Styela clava: one gene and its partners. The protein of the gene in region 2 binds, or shares a complex with, the protein of the main gene of each other region. Links are inferred from orthologs where the notes say so. Each region holds a gene or a part of one and is shown on either strand. Other genes may lie near its edges.

The links. Proteins that work in one complex are often made in the same cells at the same time.
Region 1: 116 kDa U5 small nuclear ribonucleoprotein component-like (region 2) and uncharacterized protein LOC120339308 share a complex: the UniProt entries of both Homo sapiens proteins name them as parts of the minor spliceosome. The link is inferred for Styela clava from reciprocal best matches to the Homo sapiens genes EFTUD2 and SRRM1.
Region 3: 116 kDa U5 small nuclear ribonucleoprotein component-like (region 2) and uncharacterized protein LOC120336929 share a complex: the UniProt entries of both Homo sapiens proteins name them as parts of the minor spliceosome. The link is inferred for Styela clava from reciprocal best matches to the Homo sapiens genes EFTUD2 and BUD13.

Annotation. Positions count from the first base shown.
Region 1 is NC_135250.1:14,829,966-14,836,908, reverse strand, and holds the start of uncharacterized protein LOC120339308, read left to right. Parts: upstream 1-3,913; 5' UTR 3,914-3,956; coding exon 3,957-3,977; intron 3,978-4,368; coding exon 4,369-4,458; intron 4,459-4,733; coding exon 4,734-4,856; intron 4,857-6,789; coding exon 6,790-6,943. UniProt on the Homo sapiens protein: Part of pre- and post-splicing multiprotein mRNP complexes. As a component of the minor spliceosome, involved in the splicing of U12-type introns in pre-mRNAs. Involved in numerous pre-mRNA processing events.
Region 2 is NC_135262.1:13,319,092-13,326,541, reverse strand, and holds the start of 116 kDa U5 small nuclear ribonucleoprotein component-like, read right to left. Parts: upstream 3,021-7,450; 5' UTR 2,956-3,020; coding exon 2,790-2,955; intron 2,220-2,789; coding exon 2,140-2,219; intron 1,504-2,139; coding exon 1,312-1,503; intron 551-1,311; coding exon 485-550; intron 291-484; coding exon 141-290; intron 1-140. UniProt on the Homo sapiens protein: Required for pre-mRNA splicing as component of the spliceosome, including pre-catalytic, catalytic and post-catalytic spliceosomal complexes. Component of the U5 snRNP and the U4/U6-U5 tri-snRNP complex, a building block of the spliceosome.
Region 3 is NC_135251.1:6,173,833-6,180,751, reverse strand, and holds the start of uncharacterized protein LOC120336929, read right to left. Parts: upstream 3,031-6,919; 5' UTR 3,016-3,030; coding exon 2,912-3,015; intron 1,855-2,911; coding exon 1,764-1,854; intron 1,322-1,763; coding exon 1,199-1,321; intron 410-1,198; coding exon 1-409. Other genes in the region: very-long-chain 3-oxoacyl-CoA reductase-like, read right to left, coding at 4,704-5,624. UniProt on the Homo sapiens protein: Involved in pre-mRNA splicing as component of the activated spliceosome. As a component of the minor spliceosome, involved in the splicing of U12-type introns in pre-mRNAs.

The DNA of each region.
Region 1 (6,943 bases), on a different chromosome or scaffold from region 2:
TTAATATCTCGTAGATGTTCCTTGCTGCGAGTTTCCAGGCTTCTTTTTGGTTTCTCCAATGTAGACTGAAGAACAATCGCTGCATGGGATTGTATATACAACTCCGTTTTTTTTGTTTAGGGCATGGGCGGTCTTTGACGTTGGAGAGCAATTGGCCGATAGTGTGTTGGGGTTTAAAACTTACTCTGATTTTAACGTCTTCCAAAATTCTTCGAATTTTTTCACTTAGTCCTTGGACATACGGAATGGTGGTAGATGCGATTGGTATGGGTTTATCAGGCGGTTTTTGGAGATTTACATGATTTCTGAACATTTTCGTTGGATATCCATTTTGTCGTAAAGTCTTCTTAATGAAATTTATTTCTTGTTTCTGCTTTGTTTCATCCGATATAAGAGTTTTGGCACGATTCATAAGACTACTAACCACTGAACGTTATGGTTAAGCGGGTGGCTAGAGTTAAAATTGAGGTAGCGATTAGTATGGGTCTTTTTCCTAAATATATCAGTCGTCAATTCTCCATTTCCTTCACTCTGTATCTGGACATCTAAGAAGGCTATTGTCCCATTGACTTCTTTTTCTATGGTAAATTTTATGCTTGGTTCGATCGTGTTGCTGTGGTCGTGGAACGCGTCACAAAATTCCTCAGGTCATTTGAGGGTGTTATCGTTGCAGCAAGGAAGAGGCATGAAATAAAATTTACCTAATTGTGTGACAGTGTAGTTATGTACACAAATTAAATTAGGTCCATGTGTTCAATTAGTACCGGCAGTCCGGATATAAGGTAGCAAATAGATTATAATCTCATCAAATTGCCATTGGTCTACCAGTATTATAACTTCAATATGTATTGAATCAGACTTTTATGAGTTTTATTCCGTCAAAGGAAACATGATCCTTCCTCGTTGGTTAGGCACAGAAATTGATACGGCATAGGATGGAGGTCCGTCAAAAATAAAATGCGACGATAGAGCCAATCGATTTACCGCCTTCCTTAATACCCGATATAAAGCAAATGACACAAGGAGGAGAAGTACTCACGCTACTCGACCTCAAGAAAGCCTATTTTCATTGTGATATGACCGAAGCATTTAGAACCTTTCTTGGAATAACAGTGAAAGGGGTACACATACGTTGGTGCAATATTCCAATGGGACTCAAAACTGCCGTTGCGTTATGGTCGGCTAACATGCAAGAGTGTGTGGTGAAACCCATAACAGCGACGTATCGGGAACACGTGACTAACAAAAAGTGATTGGAGGAGCAAAAAGCGTCGCTGATAGAAGCATACATAGACGACATCTTCCTGAGCACTAAAACAGTCGAGGACCACCTAACGTTACTCTAAATGACCTTCGAACAATTAACAAAATGAAATCGATCTTTAAGCATCAATAAGTGTTTTATTGGAAAAGAACCTGCTAGATCAAGATCAACCTGCTAGGCGCCACCTTGAGTGGGGAAGAAATAGAGGTTCAACCGGAAAGACTGAAGATGATGAAAGAACTACCACCGGCGCGAAATATATACAAACTCAGAGGATGGATCGGTGCTTTGAGGTATATAGCAGATCATATTCCGGAACTCAATCGGAAACTAGCGAAGTTTGACGCCCTAACAGGAAACGTACCTACCACAAGAAGCAGAGGCACGCCAGTAGTATGGACTAAAGAATTACTTGAAGACTACAAAATCGCACGACGCCAACTAAATAACACGAAAATATTACATGATGTAGACCAAAAGCTTCTATTGTATGTCGTAACGGATGCTTTAGAGAACGGGTTTGGTGCTGTCATATTTCAAACAAAAGAGGGGAAGGAATCACCATTCGAAAACGTTTATCCTATAGCGCACTATAATCACCCCAGCAGCCAGAGCATATGACCCCTGCACGAAGGGGATTAACGCACAAAGGAGTCGGTGGACAAGTGGCAATCTATTCCATACGCGATTCCTTTCACAATCCTAGCAGATAATACGGGAGTATTTGGCTTAAAAAAATGAAGGAATAACAGAAAAATCCGAGCCCTAAGATGTTAATACAACGATGGCCAACTCATTTGTCAGGATTCCAAATAGTTAAGTAATACACCCATCAGTCAACTAATGAAGTATTTACCTCGGATGGTTTATCACGTGCCTACTGGCTGGAAATGGCTGCCGGAGAAGGCGAGACAGGAATTTGGTCTACGTACGTGACACCAACAGACAAATTAATAGAAAAGTTTCAATTTCTTGTTGCGTTTTGTCATAAAATACTATTATCGGGAAATATGATTATCGTTAGACATAGGTAGATTCCGGTTTTATTTTAAAGTCTTCCCCCTCGGTAAAATTTTTTATGTTTCAGTATTTGTAAGATAATTCACTATATAATATAATAGGCAAATTTCGTGATGTACAAATTAATAGAAAAGTTTCAATTCCCTGTTGCATTTTGTCATAAAATACCATTATCGGGAATTAGGATCATCGTTAGACATAGGTAGATTCCGGTTTTATTTTAAAGTCTCCCCCCCCCCCCCGGTAGAATTTTTCAGAATTTGTAAGATAATTCACTATATAATATAAAAGGCAAATTGCGTGATGTACAAAATAATATAAAAGTTTCAATTCCCTGCCGCATTTTGACATAAAATACTATTATCAGAGTCATTATATAATGGCTCTGCTATTATCGTGAAATAGGATTATCGTTAGACATAGGTAGATTCCGTTTTTTTCCCTGGTAGAACTTTTCGTTATTTGTTGGATAATTAGATATATAATGTAATAAGTCAATTTCATGGTGTACAGAGTATTAGAAGTGCCGAAATCAGACTTCAAAGCCATCAAGACAATGTATCTCTTTGGATAAATGTTACTCAATTTGCTTGTTCAATCTTTATTTTAAAAGATGTATTTGTGCAAATCAGATTCGATTTGTTCATACCTCAATTTTATTGATGGAAATGAATAGGTTTGATATTCGCTTAGATTTAAATTTTCATGTTGTGAAACCCTCCTGCAGTCCTGTGAATTCATGCTTGTTTACCTACATACCTGGCATAAGGGATAAGAGATATTATTGTTCAGCTGATTTTGATTCATTTTCCCGGCAATTATATAAGTATAAGTTTATTTCGACTCCATAATCAGCAATAGACGATAATAATAGATAAAAATAAAAGTAACTGATTATAGAATCGGGAGAGCGAACAAAACCTCGAGTAAGGTTTGAAACGTACAGATTTTAGATGGAAAGGTATTGATAAAAGAAGTAGATCTAGTACGTGTTCGCTCACCCAAATTGTGGCTGTGCCATCAATTGCCGGACTTTGAGAGGTTCTGGCGCTGAGTTAAACATGGATATATGTAATTTAGTAATCTGTGAACGTTTAGGATGCCTTGACTTACGGTGAAACATTGTCAGAACGTCAGGTCAGCCCACTCTCGTTCTGTCGTTTGACGCTAGCCCAAACTCGCGGGATGCCAGCACACACTCGTGTGACGCTAGCCTACACTCTGACACTCGTGTGAAGCTAGCCCACACTCGTTTTTGTCAGGCCATACTAGGGGTAACTGGGCCGTGCTTGGTATTGTATTTGCGTTGTGTATATCAGATATGGTCTCTATGTTGTCAGAGTCACCAAGTTTTTATGTAATAACAGTTATAAAGTCAGTAAAATAGTTGGTTAACCCCTTGACGTCAGGCTGAATGTGGGCTGGAGTAATTTTGGTCTTATCATTGATATCTCTTAATGTGACGGCTGCGCCGTAGGTTACTGTAATATTCAATCCAAAAACAACAAATTTTCAATGCTCAATTTAATCAAACTAAATTATTTTTGACATATTTGCGATTAATAATTTTAAAATTTTGATTTGACTGATGAATTGACCAAAATCTAATTCTAAAATTTGATCCTCAAGGTAATACATTTTGGTCACTAGCAATAGGCGTAAAGTGAAAAAAATGGATGCAGGATTTTTCAGGGTAAGCCTCAATCATTTCATCGTTAAATAAATCTAAAATGTTGAGTTTCAATTGAACTATCTCATTTTCAACCTCAGCTTTCTGCATTTGGTCATTCTCACTCATTTCACTGTTTTTCACATTTACGTTAGTTGGTTCTCTATTTTTTGATTTATAAGATCGGATCTACTTTCTTAGATATGTTTTAACTTATAGGTTAAGTTATTACATAAGATTATTAACATAATTGGGGATGGTCAATTTAGAATATTGAATCCGCAAAATTCAAAGCATCTGTTTCCTACTTTGTTATAATTGGTATTCGTATTATAAGCTTGCACAAATTATAAATAGGATTAAATTAGTCAAATTATAGATTGGATATTTTAGCTTTCACATTTCATTTCTTTAGGGCACCAGTGCCGAGCAAGATAATCGTTTTGCCAACAAGCAAAAAAAATTGTTGAAATCGATGAAATTTGCAGACGGTTTGGAGAGCAAGGTAACATTTCATTTTTTTTTATAGGGATTGCTGGATTGGCACTTTCAATAACCTTCGAATCGAATTCTTAAATATTGAGGCATATTTGCTGTTATTATTTCTGTAGGATAATATTTCATTCATTTTTTATAAGTATTACATGGTTAAAATACTTAACTATTGCAGTATTGTATCAGGATGTATTTATATATTTTCATCAAATGTAAATTTATTGTAGTTCACCGTGTTTCTAGCGTTTTTGTTTTTAAAGTTGAGATCAGCCATGTTTCATTCAGATTGATATGAACAAGATCAATGTGGAAACAATTAAACCTTGGATTACGAAGACAATTACTGAAATGCTTGGCTTTGAAGATGATGTCGTCATTGAATATGTTTTTAATCACCTGGAGGAAAGAGTATGAAAGTTTTTATTTATTTGAGTAAAATTCATTTCATTTTTTTGAAATTCTCTTTCCTTACATATATTTTTCAGCATTGTGACTAGAGATGGGCAATGTAGGATAATTTACTATTATAGAATAGTTAAATCGAATCTAGAATACCGAATCCTAATCTATTTTCATACTTATTCAAAGAGTGGGAATTTCCACATTGCTAGATTTTGATGTTAAAAAATTTTAAATGTATTACTATAAATGTATTATTCATTTGGACATTTGATTTCATTTGATATTAAACAGGCATTTCCCAGGACAATAAATTTTATGAATATTACAATATATTTTGCCTTCCAATTGTTCCAAATGTATGTTATCCCTAAATACTGATATTCTAAATCAAGGCACGCTTTGAACACTTTAATAGTAAGCAGTTAAATACAAAAATAGATATGAAACATCGTTAAATCATTATTAATGTTAGGTCTGCCGAGTGTACTACAACATACCCACTGAGAATTACATATAAGCAGGACCAGCTTGTTGCCACTGCAACCTATGCACCCATTGTAAAATATTAAATTGAAGCGCTATCAATTAAAATCAACTTTTAATTCTGTGCGAGCAAGACTCGTGGAACCAAGTTTTTGTAAACACGATTTCGTACTTAGTTATTAGGTAATAACATCCAAAGACTCAATACGTCACTATCTCTGCCAGATGCGACAACTTTTTTTAAATTTATTGGCGACTAAAATACTACAAACACCCGATCAAATGTGCGTCTATCTTGAACGATAGAAACTGACCGAAAAATATGTAATCTTTTGAGAGTGAAATTCAAATGTGACAGATTTTCTCGTTTTGCGATATAACTTTGTATTTTGAAAAAAGGATGTAATAAAATTATTCGTAAATGATATTTGATGTAAATTAATCGCAAGTAATGTTATAACATTCAACGCTTTTGGTTCTGGTTCACATGCATTATTTTTTGAGAAAACTCGCAGGTCGCAAAAAATCATTTAATATAAAATGAAGCAAGGCACGTCTGTATCCAAATAAAGATTGTTGCAATCAGATTATCGGAATATCGCCAGTAAGTCGGCACAAATAATTAATAATAGTATACGCTAGCTAGATAGCAAAGCAGAAAAACGCAAAAATGGTGCAATAACGAGTCTTTGCCGTGAGGTGTACTTCGCCGACTTCGTGTCTTGAATATGCCGATTGAGATTACAGTGTCTGATGTTTACCGATTTCACGGGTTTATTGCGAGCAGACGCTGGAGAGGCGGAAACCGAATTTTGTTATCGGATCCTGCTGGATTTGAATACTTTGGGCTTTGAATCCTCCGGATTCGGTATTCTATATTGCCCATCCCTAATTGTGACACGTCCAGATTGAGCCGAAACAAAATCAAGTTTTGCATGATAGTCATGAGATACATATCCTAATCGCCTCATAAAGGATGATTATATTGGCGGTATGTTTGTCAAGAACCTAATCAAATGAAAGATTAGGAATATCTCTTTGTTTTCAAATTTTAATAACATTATTTTTATGAGGACAGTATCGGTAAAGGCTTTTGCTAGTGATGCACACACAAATGCAAATATTCACTGCAGAGATATTACAGATTCACTGTATGAACGGCGATTAACGAAAACTGATGGGAAGGCGTGCTATTGTTCTTTCACAATATTTTCTGATCGGAAAGTATTAATGCACCGACCCCAGAAAATTGGGTCTGAACATTGTCTTATTAGTTACAAAGTATGCCATATGTACATTTCTGCACATGCTGATTTTTTATTAAAATGGTTAGAAAATTGGGTCTGAACATTGTCTTATTAGTTACAAAGTATGCCATATGTACAGTTCTACACATGCTGATTTTTTATTAGAATGGTTATCTATATAGTTCATGTTTATTTTTTGTTTGTATTAGTATCCTGACCCAAAGAATCTTCAAATAAATCTCACTGGATTTTTGAACGCCAAGAATTCTAGACTTTTCCTTGGACAATTGTGGCCGCTTCTTACATCAGCACAAGAAAGTGCTACTGGTATCCCTTTGTCTTTTATGGAACAAAAGAAAGAAG
Region 2 (7,450 bases):
TTTTAAGTTTGTAAACACGCAGACCTAAAGAATAAATGCAATGTCAACAAAATGACGTAACATTTACACTTATTTATCTAATTGGGGACGCAAAGTTCAATTTTATATGTATAATAAGATATTACAAACTCAACACTTGCCTCATCTGAAAAGTTGACATGACCTGGAGAATCCATAACATTGATAAGATAATTTTTGCCTCTTGTATCAGGCAATACCAGAGTAACAGGCTGTGATTTAATGCTTAATCCACGTTCTTGTTCAGTCAATAATGTGTCGGTAAATCTCAACTGTGAATAATGAAGAAAAATAGATCAAGGATTTATGGCTGCAGCGTATTTGATATTTGGAATCCTGGATAATTCTGGATCATATTCAAATTAAAAAAATTCCAAGATACTGTTTCTCTAGCATGTATGCCCTAATAAACTCGGTAGGACACAAAAAAAATGATCGGAATAGATCTCAAGATTTTCAAACTTACGTCTTTAGCTTCTTTCTTTGCAATATCTGGATGAGTTTGTTCGATCAGACAATCGACAAAATTTGTCTAAAACAAACAATAACATGGATTGAATAAAGAAGGACATCATATTAATATTTAGAAACCAATGAAAAATGCTTTTCACTGTCTTTTTATTCTTCAGAACGTCCAAGATTTTTACCAGACACTGTGGCAGTGGCCAGAGGAATAAAAATAATTAATCATTGAAATTTGTATATTTAATTAAATGTTTTTAATATACAAATTTAACTAATATATTAAAAACAAAAAATTACAAGCTGAAAAAAATAAATTTTATTATTTGTATGAAGTGTTAGAAAATAATGAATGCGAAAGAAAAAAAAAAAAGATGGCAAGGAGATCAGCCACTAGAATTTCTAGTATCACCCGCTCTATTTACTGAGACAAGCTTGGATCACAGCTTTATGCTACAGCAAGAAGTATGACCTCTCATTTGGTTAATAGTCTGGACCAGTATGACCGATTCATTGATACAGAGATATCAGAGGCAGAAAAAAATATAGTCAATATTATTAAGTAGGTTCTATCCTGCACTAATTATTTAAATTCACATTAGCGAAAATGTTGTTAATAGAGCTGTAGTGTCGGGAAAAAATTTACAACTGACTCTGAATACGAGTTGGAAAAATTGGCTCCGTCTCTGGGTAAAAAAAATCCAGTTAAAAAATGCTACAAACATGGTACTAAATCACGAAGCACGTTGGCCAAAACCTTATTTATCCTATGGTTCAATTCATCTTATGGCATATTGACATAAATTTGCAAAAAAATAATTTATCAAATACCTTTCCATGATGCAAATGTCCTGCAATAACAACATTTCTTATAAGTTCTGGTGAGTCCATGAGATCAGCAAGATATTCCATATCATATGTAGTGTTTGGTAAATCTTGGACCATGAGTGCGAACTTCTTCCTTCTTATCGGAGCAATAATCGGTTCTGTCAGTGGCTGTGCATCTTCCTCTTGCACTATCGTCTGAGTAAAATTGTTGAAAAATTGCTCAACCATAAAATTTTAGAATATAATAGATATAGAATAACCACAACTTTGCAGGTTAATCCTTCGGAATTTGACAATTCCAGAAAATCAGATTGGTGGCCGAAAACAAAAAACACCAATATAGTCCTAGTAATTTTATCTAAAAAAAATTATCCTGAAACAATATTGAATAGTCGAGAGCTTTGATCCAAAAAAGCGAAACTTAAAAAAACTCGAGACACTTTTATATCCCTGTAAATTTTTATTGAAATAATTTGGGTCTAAATAGCCTCTAAACTTCAATTTGATTACTTTGAAACTTTTATTTCTCAGTAATATTTTTAACATTCACCCTTGTTTAATTTAAAATGTTGCAATTAAAACAATAGATTTTCAATTGAGTTGGTGAAAAGAAAATCACAAAAACTCACACAGTAGTAGGAAAAAAAAATCAAGTTGATTAACTATTGCCAATGCAACAGACAAACAAAAATTGCTAATTTTTCGATGAGTGCCTATTAGCCCGAATCTAACATATCTCAACATAGTGAGGATACATTGGCAACATATCTAAATCGCAGCCAGAAAAACTATACTGAATTATATAATGTAAAACTAAACCGAAAGTTTTACCTCGACTTCTTCACCGTAAACTTCTTCATGGGTTGGATAATATTTTTTGTCTTCATGTAAAACAACTTCCATCCCAGTTTCTAAAATTAAATTTCCTTATTTCAATATATTAATTGTGGGTGCGGTAGGTCAGTGGTTAATACGTTAGACTTAGCAGTAAATCCCATGTCCAGGGTGTCCCCTTTCTCACTATGGTAGCTTAATACCTAGCATTGGTCTCTTTTGCAGAGCCTTGTTCAGAGCAAAGGACTATGAATATACCATATAAGAAAAATGAAAATTGTATCATGTCGAAATTGATTTTGGATTTGAGAATTCTATTCACATTATAAGTTAGTTATCTAGAATTCAGACTAATAAAATTTCACAGAAAAAATTTTTGTTACTAAATCTGGCCGGTGTTAATAAAATCATGTTTTACATTAAATTCTGCATAAAACCAGTAATAAGTACTATTATTGAGTTTGGTGATCGCTATTTTTGATTTGCAATAAATTTATATGGGATGTAGGCAGACTAAAATTAAAATACCAACGCATGAAAACGAGACAAGAATCCATGGTTCGATATATGATCAAATTGACCTATTTTTTTTTCCTTTTACTAAGATTAATATCATAATCTACATATAAAAATATTGTGTGTATTACTTGCAATTCCACTGCCATCCATATCAACATCATTGTCATCGTCATCTTCTTGCCGATCGAGATCATGTGATGGTGACATGTCATTATCTACTTCCTCATCTTCTTCATCGGAATCTAACTCAGGTCCGATATAATTCCCAAACTCATCGTACATTTCTGTATCCATGGTGGAATATGTTTGTTGTATCTATATTATGTCCTTGTATAGATAAAGTAAATTGTTGAAATACACCTAAAAAGTTGGATATTAGGCAAATATTAGATGCATAGCTAATACTGCAGTAGGACACAGTTCTCTTGTTCCAAAATTTTCAGTCATTTGATTAAGTAAATAAATCTAAATTAATCGCAGCCGTCACATGATCAAAATTGTGAAGGAAGGAAGGAATCTGATGAGGATATTTTTAGATTAGGATTTACATATTTATCTCGGGGGAGAGGTAAGTCGATAAGATACCATTCCATGTCGGGTATGGGATTAGTTAATTAGCCTACTTGTTTTTTTGGAGGCATGGACTTGATGGTGGAGGAAGCCGTGACAGACCAGCGGTTACGTGGACCACCCTACGACGGTGAGGTGTTCAGCAATCCTCTTGCACATAACCATGCAGAGTAATCAGAGGTGCGGTGGCGAGCACATTCCTATCGCTTAGCACCGCTTAGCACGATGACCCACACCGCCACGCCAATATTGAGGCTCAGACTGTCTCGTAAAGAAGGGGTTTGCACTCAGCATCATGATTGATGTCTCTGCTATTGATGATTCTATTGATGCAGCTATTCTTGGAATCCAAGTCCAATCTGTGCTTTACTGCCTGAATAATTACTAAAAAATCTACTACTATTTACCCAATTTTTGTTTCGTGGGAATTTTTATATATGCAGTATACGTGCTGTTGTGAGAGATACAATCTATAGGTCTGCAGACTATGTACTAAATGCAGAAATGACCTACAAAAAGATGCAAGTCTCAACTTCAATTCAAGTTAATTCTCAGAAATAGGGCCTACTCCAATTCTTATCGAAAACATATTTATATAACATTCAAGTACTGAAGTCAAGAAGTAGTGGTACATGAGGTTTAATATGCTCATCTGATTCTGCACGCAGTTTCTATTTTTATGTACTCACTATTCAAAGCAAATAAGTCAATAACAATAAATTATATACCAGATATTGCATATTATATCAAGTTCATTCATCTAACCAAGTTCGGAATGATTTATCAATTTTTTCAATATTTCTTCGTGATCTTCAAGGTTTTAATTCTAGTTCAAACGTTATCAACATTTGTATTGACATTTTAAAATTGAGACATCATGTCATTGACATCATGTCCCATCCTAATTATCGAAGTTAATCTGATAACAAGAATATGAAGTCAAAACAACCTTACGCTACGTGCAACGCTACTGTATACCTCTGTGTATATCGTCAATTACAAATCTGCATTTGTCTAAAACTCCCTCGCACGAAACGCATGGGATACGTTTCCTACCTGCAACTCATCGTACCATGACCAAGTATGAATAGACGAATTTGACGCATTAATGATTATAAGTATAAGTATAAGTTAGTATAAGTTTATTTCGACTCCATAATCAGCATAACAATACATTTGACAGATAAAAACAAATAAATAAAAACTGATTATGAAATCAGGGGAGCAAACAAAACCTTAGATAAGGTTTATAACGTACAAAATATAAGATGGAAGGTTTTGCCAAGAGGAAGTGGTACGTGTTTACTCACCTAAAATTATTAAGTTATTTCACACACGCTCACATGCACCCACCAGCCACACACACAACCACTGAGAATTTATTTAAGTAAGAATAAGACGCGATAAATTTAGGGTATACTATACAGTAAACAAAAAATAAATAAATAAATACTAGAAAAGAAAATTATCTGCCACACCATATTGATATTTTTGTAATGATTGCCATTGCCAAATTGATCGATCTTCTAATCGTTAATTAAGATATAAAAGGAAGATTCTATTGAAAACATATTGCCAAGCTGATTATAGTTGGAGTCAAATGCCAAGTTGCCCAACCAAAGTTGCCAGAATTGGGTGCATGAAGAGGTGGGCGAGACCATTTCATTCCCCAAATTAGAGCCTATTATTGCCAAATTATAGTCCAGATTGTAGTAAGTAATTAAAGTTACCGGTAACACTAAAATTACTATAATTAAGTAAAGTAGGATGTGGAAATAAATTGGTTACAAAGGGTGTAAGTGAGGTTTTTCATTCTTGGGTATTGATTTCAGACAAGGATATAGGAATAAGGTTGTTATTTCACAGGATATCGGAGTCTTTTTTGATTTTTTTCTTATGTGTTTTACTTCATTTAATCACTTTGAAGTAACCTGAAAAACAAAAAATAAAACTGCGAGTAGATGTTTCAATGATTGGGTGAAGGGGAACGCTCTGAACTATTTATTACAGGCAAAAAATAATTGTTTAATTAAATGGGATGTATTGTCATTGTATAGCGATGGATAGATGATCTATGATGACATTCTGCTTGGGACAGAGAAAAAAATTTATCACACCATGCAAAAAACACACAAAATTTTACTATCTATACCTTGGCCAACAAGTCAACTCAAACACCATGCCCTAACATAAAACGCATGCATACATAAATGATATAAAAACCACATCCAATTACAATGACCCACAGCAAATTAAAATCTGAAGGGGAGAAACCAACATAGCTCTACTGCTCGCCTAGTTGCAATAAGTAGTAACCTTGCAGGAACAATATTGTACTATCTACAACCCTTATACCACCACTCAAACATAAGACCAAGCGTGTATGATAAGGACATCACAGCTAGAAAAACATAAAAACACGAGCGTGAAGTGATAGAATGTGTGCAGTTATTTAAAGAAAATATCATCCGGGTACGTTAGCTACCTATATATTTAAAAATATATATATATATACTCAAGCATGTCACAATACCATTTCTTTGGTGCTGGACTAGTTCTGGCCAAGTCGTGGCAAGATATAACAATATTATTATAGCTGTTCAACATTTTCATTAAAACAATAATGTGCAAGTGTGGAGTGTCCCAAGTTTTTGTCATCGAATACCACCAGTAGTAATTTTTAATATTTGGAAACTAAATGAGACTTGACTTGTTTTTGAAAAGATTTTTTGGACTTTAAGGTCTTCAAATTTAAGGAAAGAGAATTCCAAAGTTTGGGTCCAGTAAAAGACAAGGAATGCTGACTCACGGATTTACTCATGAAAGGTACGAATAAATCAGAACTGCTTCTTCGGTTGGAGGTATTTTTGACAAGTATGTCATTAAAGCAATTGGGCAGCGCATTATTATGGAAGTCGTGAGCTAGAGATAATATTTCAAATTTCATCATATCTTCAACCTTAAGTATATTTAGTGATTTGAAGTAAGATTCTACACTTTCACGTTTTCTTTTACCAAAAACTATTCTTAAAAAATTATTACAAATACTCTGCAGTTTTGAGACAAGTGTTTTATTACCATGAAGCCAGACTGAACAACAATATCGAATATGGCTAAGTAGTAATGATTGAAACATTGCTAGTAGAGCTGATTGATCAACACACTGGGATACTTTGGCAGAAACTGCTAGGTTTCTTTTTGTTTTACCAATAACATGCATTATTTGTGATTTCCATGACAGATTTTCATCAAAGATAACTCCTAGAAATTTTATTTCTTTCACTCTTTCAATTTCATTGCCATTGAGCAGTAGTTTTTTTGAACAACTCACACTTTTATGCTTGCTTGGATGGAATAATACAAATTTAGTTTTGTTAGCATTCAGAGATAATTTATTAACTAACATCCAGCTACGAATGTTGGTTAGTTCTTGGTTTGCAACTGTGAATAGATCTTCAAGGTTTTCACCATGAAGAATCAAGTTAGTGTCATCAGCAAACATGATCGACTCAGAGGATTTCAGACACCTGGACATGTCATTAATGTAAGCTAGAAAAAATAATGGGCCAAGTAAAGATCCTTGTGGAACTCCGTGCTTCATGACACAAATATTTGTAGAGAACAGATGTTTCCATGAGAATCTTGGTCCATGCGAGGGGTTTGGGCATTACTGTATGCGAGAACGATGCTGAGCTTGATAATTAGTGTCTTGCCTGTTACTCAAATATCGTATCTTACGCAATTTAAAAAAATGGCGCTCCAGAAGTGTGTGTACCAGTATTTTAGGGGGGGGGGGAATTTGGGGTTGGAAGATATTTTGTTATTAGTGATAAAACTATTTGTAACTTATAAAATATTCAAATACATTTGAGAAACGAAGCGATGCGGGATGGACCACAGCACTCCCGTCGGATTTTATTCAAACTAAAGAATCCAGGACATTCTTATTGGACACGTAGTGGACATAACGATCGTTTCAAAATTTTGTTGTTATTGTTATTATTTGTCTCCATCATTTTAAAAAAAATTGCTTTTCTCTTTGACTACTACCAATTGCTTTGAAATTTTCAGTGAGTAAAGATTGATTTTTCCGCCAGAAGGCTATTACTTTTATTTATTTCTAAATATCGCACGAAATCTGATATTTCGTCTAAAATTTCGCTGTATTATTTTATCCATGGGAACACTGGCTGTCCGGTTTGATTCTGTAAATTATTTC
Region 3 (6,919 bases), on a different chromosome or scaffold from region 2:
TGTTTTGTCCATTTCTATCTGTATTTCTATTTGATTTAGAAGTCGATCTTCGAATTTCTAAATCAGAATCGTGCCTTGACCTATGACCTTTGTGTGAATGTTTTCCTGATCTAGAGTCAGTTAAACTTGATGAGTCATGTTTTCTTCTAAAAGTATTTTCTGCTCTGTCATGCTTTTTAGTCCTTATGTCCAAGTCACTATCGGAATCATTATGTTTAGTCCTTTTAGAAATTTTAGATCCCCTTGGTGGCGCTGTATCGTCTCCACTAGTAGAGTCATGCCTTTTTCGTGATTTAGCCTCTGATTTCCTCGGGATTTCTATATCGCTGTCCGAATCGTGTCTGGAATTATTTGATTGCTTTTTCCGAGGGATGTCATCAAAATCACTACCAGAATCTTCTATCACAATCTGTAAAAAAATTGGAATTTTCGAATTTTTATTTAAAAAAAAGTAATATCAAACACTATAAGAGAGAGATTTATGAGACTAAAATTCCAAGAGCCACTTAAACTATATAAAATTCAGTTATCAAAATTGATAGTACCAAGTTAGGGTTAGGCCATAATTTGATTCCGTTTTTTTTTTATTTTACTTCTATTACGAGTTCGATGACTAGTAGGTTTCAGTCCCTTTACACAACATGATGTAAAGTAGGCGAACAAAATTAGTCACCTCCATATTAGTACACACACTTATGGATCGTCAAAATTGCGTTGTCAATTGAAACAAAGCAAGAGATATCATACTTATTAACAAATAAGAAATAGGCAATCATTTGACATGTTTTTAATGGAGACTTGCATAAGTTCAGATGTGGAATCTGATTCAAAAATTTTGAATCAACTCGGAGTTGATTGTAAACTTATGCCGATTCAGCAGCCCTGGTGAAATCTCATACGAGAATGAAAATCGGGGAAACTTGAAAACAAGGTAGCCTACTCGCGAAGTGTGTGAACCAAGATGGCGGACACCGGAACATAGTATGTGTACCCGATTAGGGTTACGCCATAATTTCAGGTACAAATACTACGGGAGTCACTTGGCTAGTCCCCGAACTCGTAATAGAACTAAAATGGGAAAAATTGGGATAAAATTATGGCCTACCCATATTCTGGTATACATACTACATTAAAGTATCCGAGATCTTGGTTCACATACTTCGGGAGTACCGGAAATGAAGCATTACGCAGTACAAACCCTATTTTCATCGCTGTCTTCCTTCAATGTTTTCCATTTACTGCTCTTCCTATACGCATCAAGTTCCTTCTCAGATTTTGTTCTGTTGTCGATAACTTCAACTTGAGGTTTCTCTTCCTGTGTCTGAGAAGATAAAAAGGTCATAGGTCAGTGCTTCTAATACTTTTATGATCTATTCTATCTTCCAACGACTGTAACGTTTTTTGGTCCTCCTTTTCTATGAAAATACCTTGCTGTTAAGGAGTTTTCATGATGTATTCAATGCACCATGTTTAATATTAAAAAGCCAACGTAATCGACTATTTTAACCACTGAAAGTACCAAAGCAATTGGTCACTTGTTGAGTAAGAGGAGCGATTTTTTTCATAAGGTAACAAGAAAAAGAACAACAACCTAATTAATACCAAAACGATCTATAGGTCCACTTCATGTCAAATAAGCTAGGAGAGAAAATAATAGATAAGATTACACAAACTAGGCCAATGGGGGCTTGTGGTTAAAGCATTAGACTCAACTATAATGGCATCCCCAGAAACCTTGCTTGAATAAAATATGTATAACGTACCAGTAAAGCATCAGGGAAATCCCCCTCCTCATCTTTCGGTCCAATATTTTTCCATGAAACATCGTCATCGACTATTTTCATGCCCCTTCCTCTGAAAATAATAAAATAAAAAATAAAATGACAGGGCTCGTGGGTGGGATGCACACATACTCTGTGTTAGTCCGAAAGCTGAAACCTCATGGGAGGAGATACTTATGTGCAAGAACTCCTCATTGACATATGCCGCCAAAATCCATATATCTAGGGTGTCAATAAAGTATTATATAATTTTCATAAACTGTAGAGAGAATTTAACGATACCATATATTGTTTTGGCCCTCACAGATGTATTGAATGAAGTGAAAATACTTAAAAATTACTGATTAAAAAACAATAAACCTGGTAATGCTATATTGAGAACTGACTTCATAACAAAATTGGAATTGTAAACGAACTTATGGACACCCTGTACAACAAATAAGGCATGTGAAGAACTCGGCTTGTCAGAAAAAACTCTTACTAATATCTTTCCTCTCCCATGAGATAAATGTGCTAAGCATTAGTACAGAGAGAAACTCAAGTAAATCGATACAAAAAACAGAATGTAAGCCGAGATATAATAAACAGGGTAGGCCACATAACCCATGATGAACTGGAAAGATCCCAGTCACACCAAAGAGAAACTGGAGATTACTATGTACAAAGGTATGGCCAATATAGTTTTGAAGTTCATACATATAAAACAGTCATCGGCACTGCGATACTACTCGGCCAAATATGCCTATTGACGGCAGAGTATGAGCTGCATTATTTTCCACCTATGAACAGCCGCCACATTAATAAACTTCAAATTATGACATGACCGCAACTTCTATTTCTGTGTTAATTACAAACTAACAAGTAGGTATTCGTTCAGGAAGCAGCCAGAATCCCCCGATATGTTCGCTAACTACTGCAAAACAACCACCGCACAACAGACATTGTTTCGACATACATCCGCCAACAGATAACTATAAATTTCTGAGCAATTTTTGGTTTTATGCATTAAAAATGAAGTTCAAGGGCCACAAAAAATCTCTTCACGTATCGCGGTTTGCACTAACTCGCCATAAATTAACTAAACCTTGTCAGTTTTCTCCTCATGACAGATGAAAAACAACATCACTCACTGTTTGACTTTTCCCCCTTTTTTCTTTTTCCGTTTCTTATAGTCGCCACTTTCAACTGGGGCAAGATATTTCTTCAAGTATTCCTCCCGGCTGAGTGAAGTCATTTTATATCTATGTCTATGCCTGGAAATCAATGAATTTTATAAAAAATTTTGATAAAAATAAACAGCATACAAATTGAAAAAAAGTCTTGTAAAATTGGTGGGACAAAATTCACTTGTATAATGTAATATAGCGGTGAGTGTTTGCATATTAAATCTTTATTTTATGGCATTTTTTTACATTTGCTTGAAGAAACGCTAGGCCACGCAAACTCACTCAAAAGTAAAGCAGAATCATCAATAGAGACAGATTTCTGAGCAAAATTACAACTGAATTCCGGGAGTTACTGAAACTACAGGGAATCATGTTGGTGGGTGCATTATGTACCATTACCTGCTAAACAACTTAACTAAATTGATACCAATTCTATGTTATTCCTCGATATTTCCATGCTGGTGGACCCGTATGGCAATGATACAAGAATGCTGCAGGAATAGTAAATATGAAAATTCTATGTGATTTAATAAATTTCTTGCTTCAAACTAACACGAATGTATTTATGCAGCATAATCATCATCTCAGCAAACATAAACTTCTCCACACAACCTCGAGTTCAATATAATTTATAAAAATACTTTCGTGTTAGTTTCAGCAAGACATCTAAACCTCTAACAATCAAAAATAGGCAAAATATGAAATATATACAATGTACAGGGTGTCCAAAAAGTTTCGCCCGATTATAAAGTCTTTATAATCAAATGCTATTTTTTTAATTTAAAAAAATATTTATATTCAACCTGTTTCTAATTTGATGTTATATATGTTAAATGTTGTAGTCCCTATTTATCATACAACCAAATTTTTCAAATTTGCAATTGGTAATGCTATGAAATCGGGCGGAACTTTTTGGGCACCCCGTATTATAATCTCAATGGCAAAAGAAGTTCACAAGGGGCTCCCGAAGTATGCGAACCAAGATGGCGGACATCGGAATGTAATATGTGTACTAGGTTAGGGTTAGGCCATAATTTTAGGTATAAATACTACGGGAGGCTCTTGGCTAGTCTTCGAACTGATAATAGAACTAAAATAAGGAAAATTGGAAAAAAATTATCGCCTAACCCTAACCTGTTACCCATGTTACGTTCCGATGTCCGCCATCTTGGTTCGCATACTTCGGGAGCCCCGTTCACAAATTAGAAACAAATTAATTAGATAGTGAAACAATATAGAATACCATGACTTTCCACAAATAATACACAACTGACTTCAATAGAATTATATGCTGAAATGTACCTGAATATTATGCAAGGAGAAATCTGGTAACTAGAGGTAGAATGGGTTATGAGCAGATAAGTATTCTAGAATTCCTATCTAGCAGGGATCATGGTCCAATTACTTAAAATGATAACTTTTCAAATGTTTTTTAAAAGTTTTTTAAATTATAGAACACTTAATGGGCCCAAGTGGAACGTTTTGGTAATATGTTGTTGTTAATCTTGTTGGTATTTTTTTTTATGTTATGAAAAAAATTTCTCAATATTTCGAGTACGGTATTTTGGAATGTGTTTAAAATAATCACCATAAGTTTCGGTACTCCAACACCAATCCAGAACGAATTTATTCGACTACCAAGGTATCACTATATAATTCAAAACTACTTTTCAACAGTTCTAGCTTTTTTTTAAACCTTAAAACTATAACACAAGTTACACAACATACACAAAGTCAACATTTCATTAAATTCATCCTATTTATTAGGTTTTAATTTTGCTGCTTCAGATCCATTTATCTTTGCAGCTAAGAAATCTGGGATGAGATTTATGAAAAGTTTAAACACATTATGTCCAAGGAATCCTGTATTTGTGTGAGACGATTTTCCCAGTGACTTGACAACATGTTTTCCGTACAACTTTGATACCGGGATCAACAAATTTGGTTTCAAGTCAGTGTATGTTAATGCCATTGGTGTGACTGTCAAACCTGGAGCAATGAGTTGAAAAATTATTCCTTTGTTTGAGTATTCATTCTGCATCGCTTCTGTATAAGCGTTGATAGCTGCTTTTGAACCCCCATAAACTGAAAAATATGCTCCATTCATAGAGGCAACAAGCGAAGATATGTTAGTTATAATCCCACCCCCCTTTTTGACCATATTTGGCAAAACGATTTCTGTCATTTTCATGGCAGCCAAGACATTGACATTCACAACATTAGTAGAATATTTTCTGTACTCTGGAACGTCCATGAAGGACATAGGTTTTCCGAACGCCATGCCGACATTGTTAACCAACAATGCAATATCGAGATCCCTCAATTCTTCATTTATGACATCATAAATATCTTCACCATTTGAAAAATCAACTGCTATAACAATAACACGAACGTTGAAACTTTGTCGCAATTCGTCAGCAAATTTATCAAGTTTCGACTTCGTACGAGCCAAGATCACCAAATTCATTCCAGCTTTAGCAAGTTCATATGCCGTCGCTTTTCCAATTCCGTCACTAGCACCGGTAACGACCGCCCATGTCCCGAACTTCTTAAAATCAAAGGTTTTACTCCACAATGACTCGTTGATTATGCGAGCAACAGTTCCCACAAATCTTGAGAAAAAGCGGAGAATAGTTAAAACTCCAACTACTGTAACAAAGTTTTCAACCAATGCCATGTCAGAATATTTATCCTAGACTAATACATATTCCTAAAAAATGAAAACGTTTTTAAGTGGTGGAGGATTCGACTGAGCAATTTTGATAAAAGGAGAGTATTAGGGTAAAATGAAAAGCAGGGAGGGCAGGGCAATCGCCCATTGAAAATGTGGCTGTAATAATTTAATTTTTAAAAGCATTAAACGTTGTGTTGTAGACTTGTAGTGTATAGTATAGCACAAAAAAGTCAAAATTCTATACTATTTATCATTACAACAGACTATAGCAAAAAATGAAAGCATTATCACATTTTTTAGCATAAAAGTATATATTATAGAAAATTGCACAAAAGTGCCAAAGCAGACGCATGACATTGATTTCAAATAATCTACAATTGCAAATACATTTTGAAATGATATTTTTGAATATAAATTATAGAATAGAGCAGCATAAGAACATTCAAATCTACAGTAGTTAGAAACTTTTTCTTTTTTTGGAAATTTAATGATAACAACGGGGTCTAGCGAAGTGAACGCCATAACTGCTTGAATAACAGCAAACGAAAATGTGATGTGAAATACAGCTAATTTCCATTTTTTTTAAATATAAGTCTGTATCTTGTGGAACACTATACCCTATTTGACATGGGCCATACCTGCTTAGTTGCAAATTAAGTAGGTTTGGTTAACTAAAGGCATCTCTCAATAAATCTCATTCAGTGCCTGATAGAATTTATTTTTAAAAACGCAAAAACAACTTATTTGTTTGGCATTATTACTTATCGATCCTTAGATCGGTAAGTATGTTGATTGGTATTTGTCTGCGTGTATGTCTGTTAGATGCACGCGATATCTTACGAAAGCGAGATTGAATCTGCTCCAGATTTTGCATGTGCATTCATCATATTTCGGACCAAAAGCATATTAATTTTGGGCGAATTATGTCGTATAATCAGCGAGTTATTAAACATTTAGTGATGGGACACAAGGTGTTATTATGGAGTAAGAGCGCTGTTTTGGGAGACCCCCTCCCGCTAACTTTCGATCGATAAGTCTTTGGTCTCTGACCGATATTCTCGTTTGAGCAGTTTCAGGATTTACTTCGCTAGAAGTTTATGTTAGGTCAAGATTGGTCTGACAATATTCCTCAGTTTGAATGATTCGTACTAGTGGCGTAATTTAAATTCTAGATTCATACAAAAATTGACCAGAATAGATTTTATGAAAGGAACAGGATGATTTACGTCTGTATTACCCCAGAGCACACAGATGTGAAACCCAATTATAAGATATCTCCAGTTCTCCAGTTTTTTTTT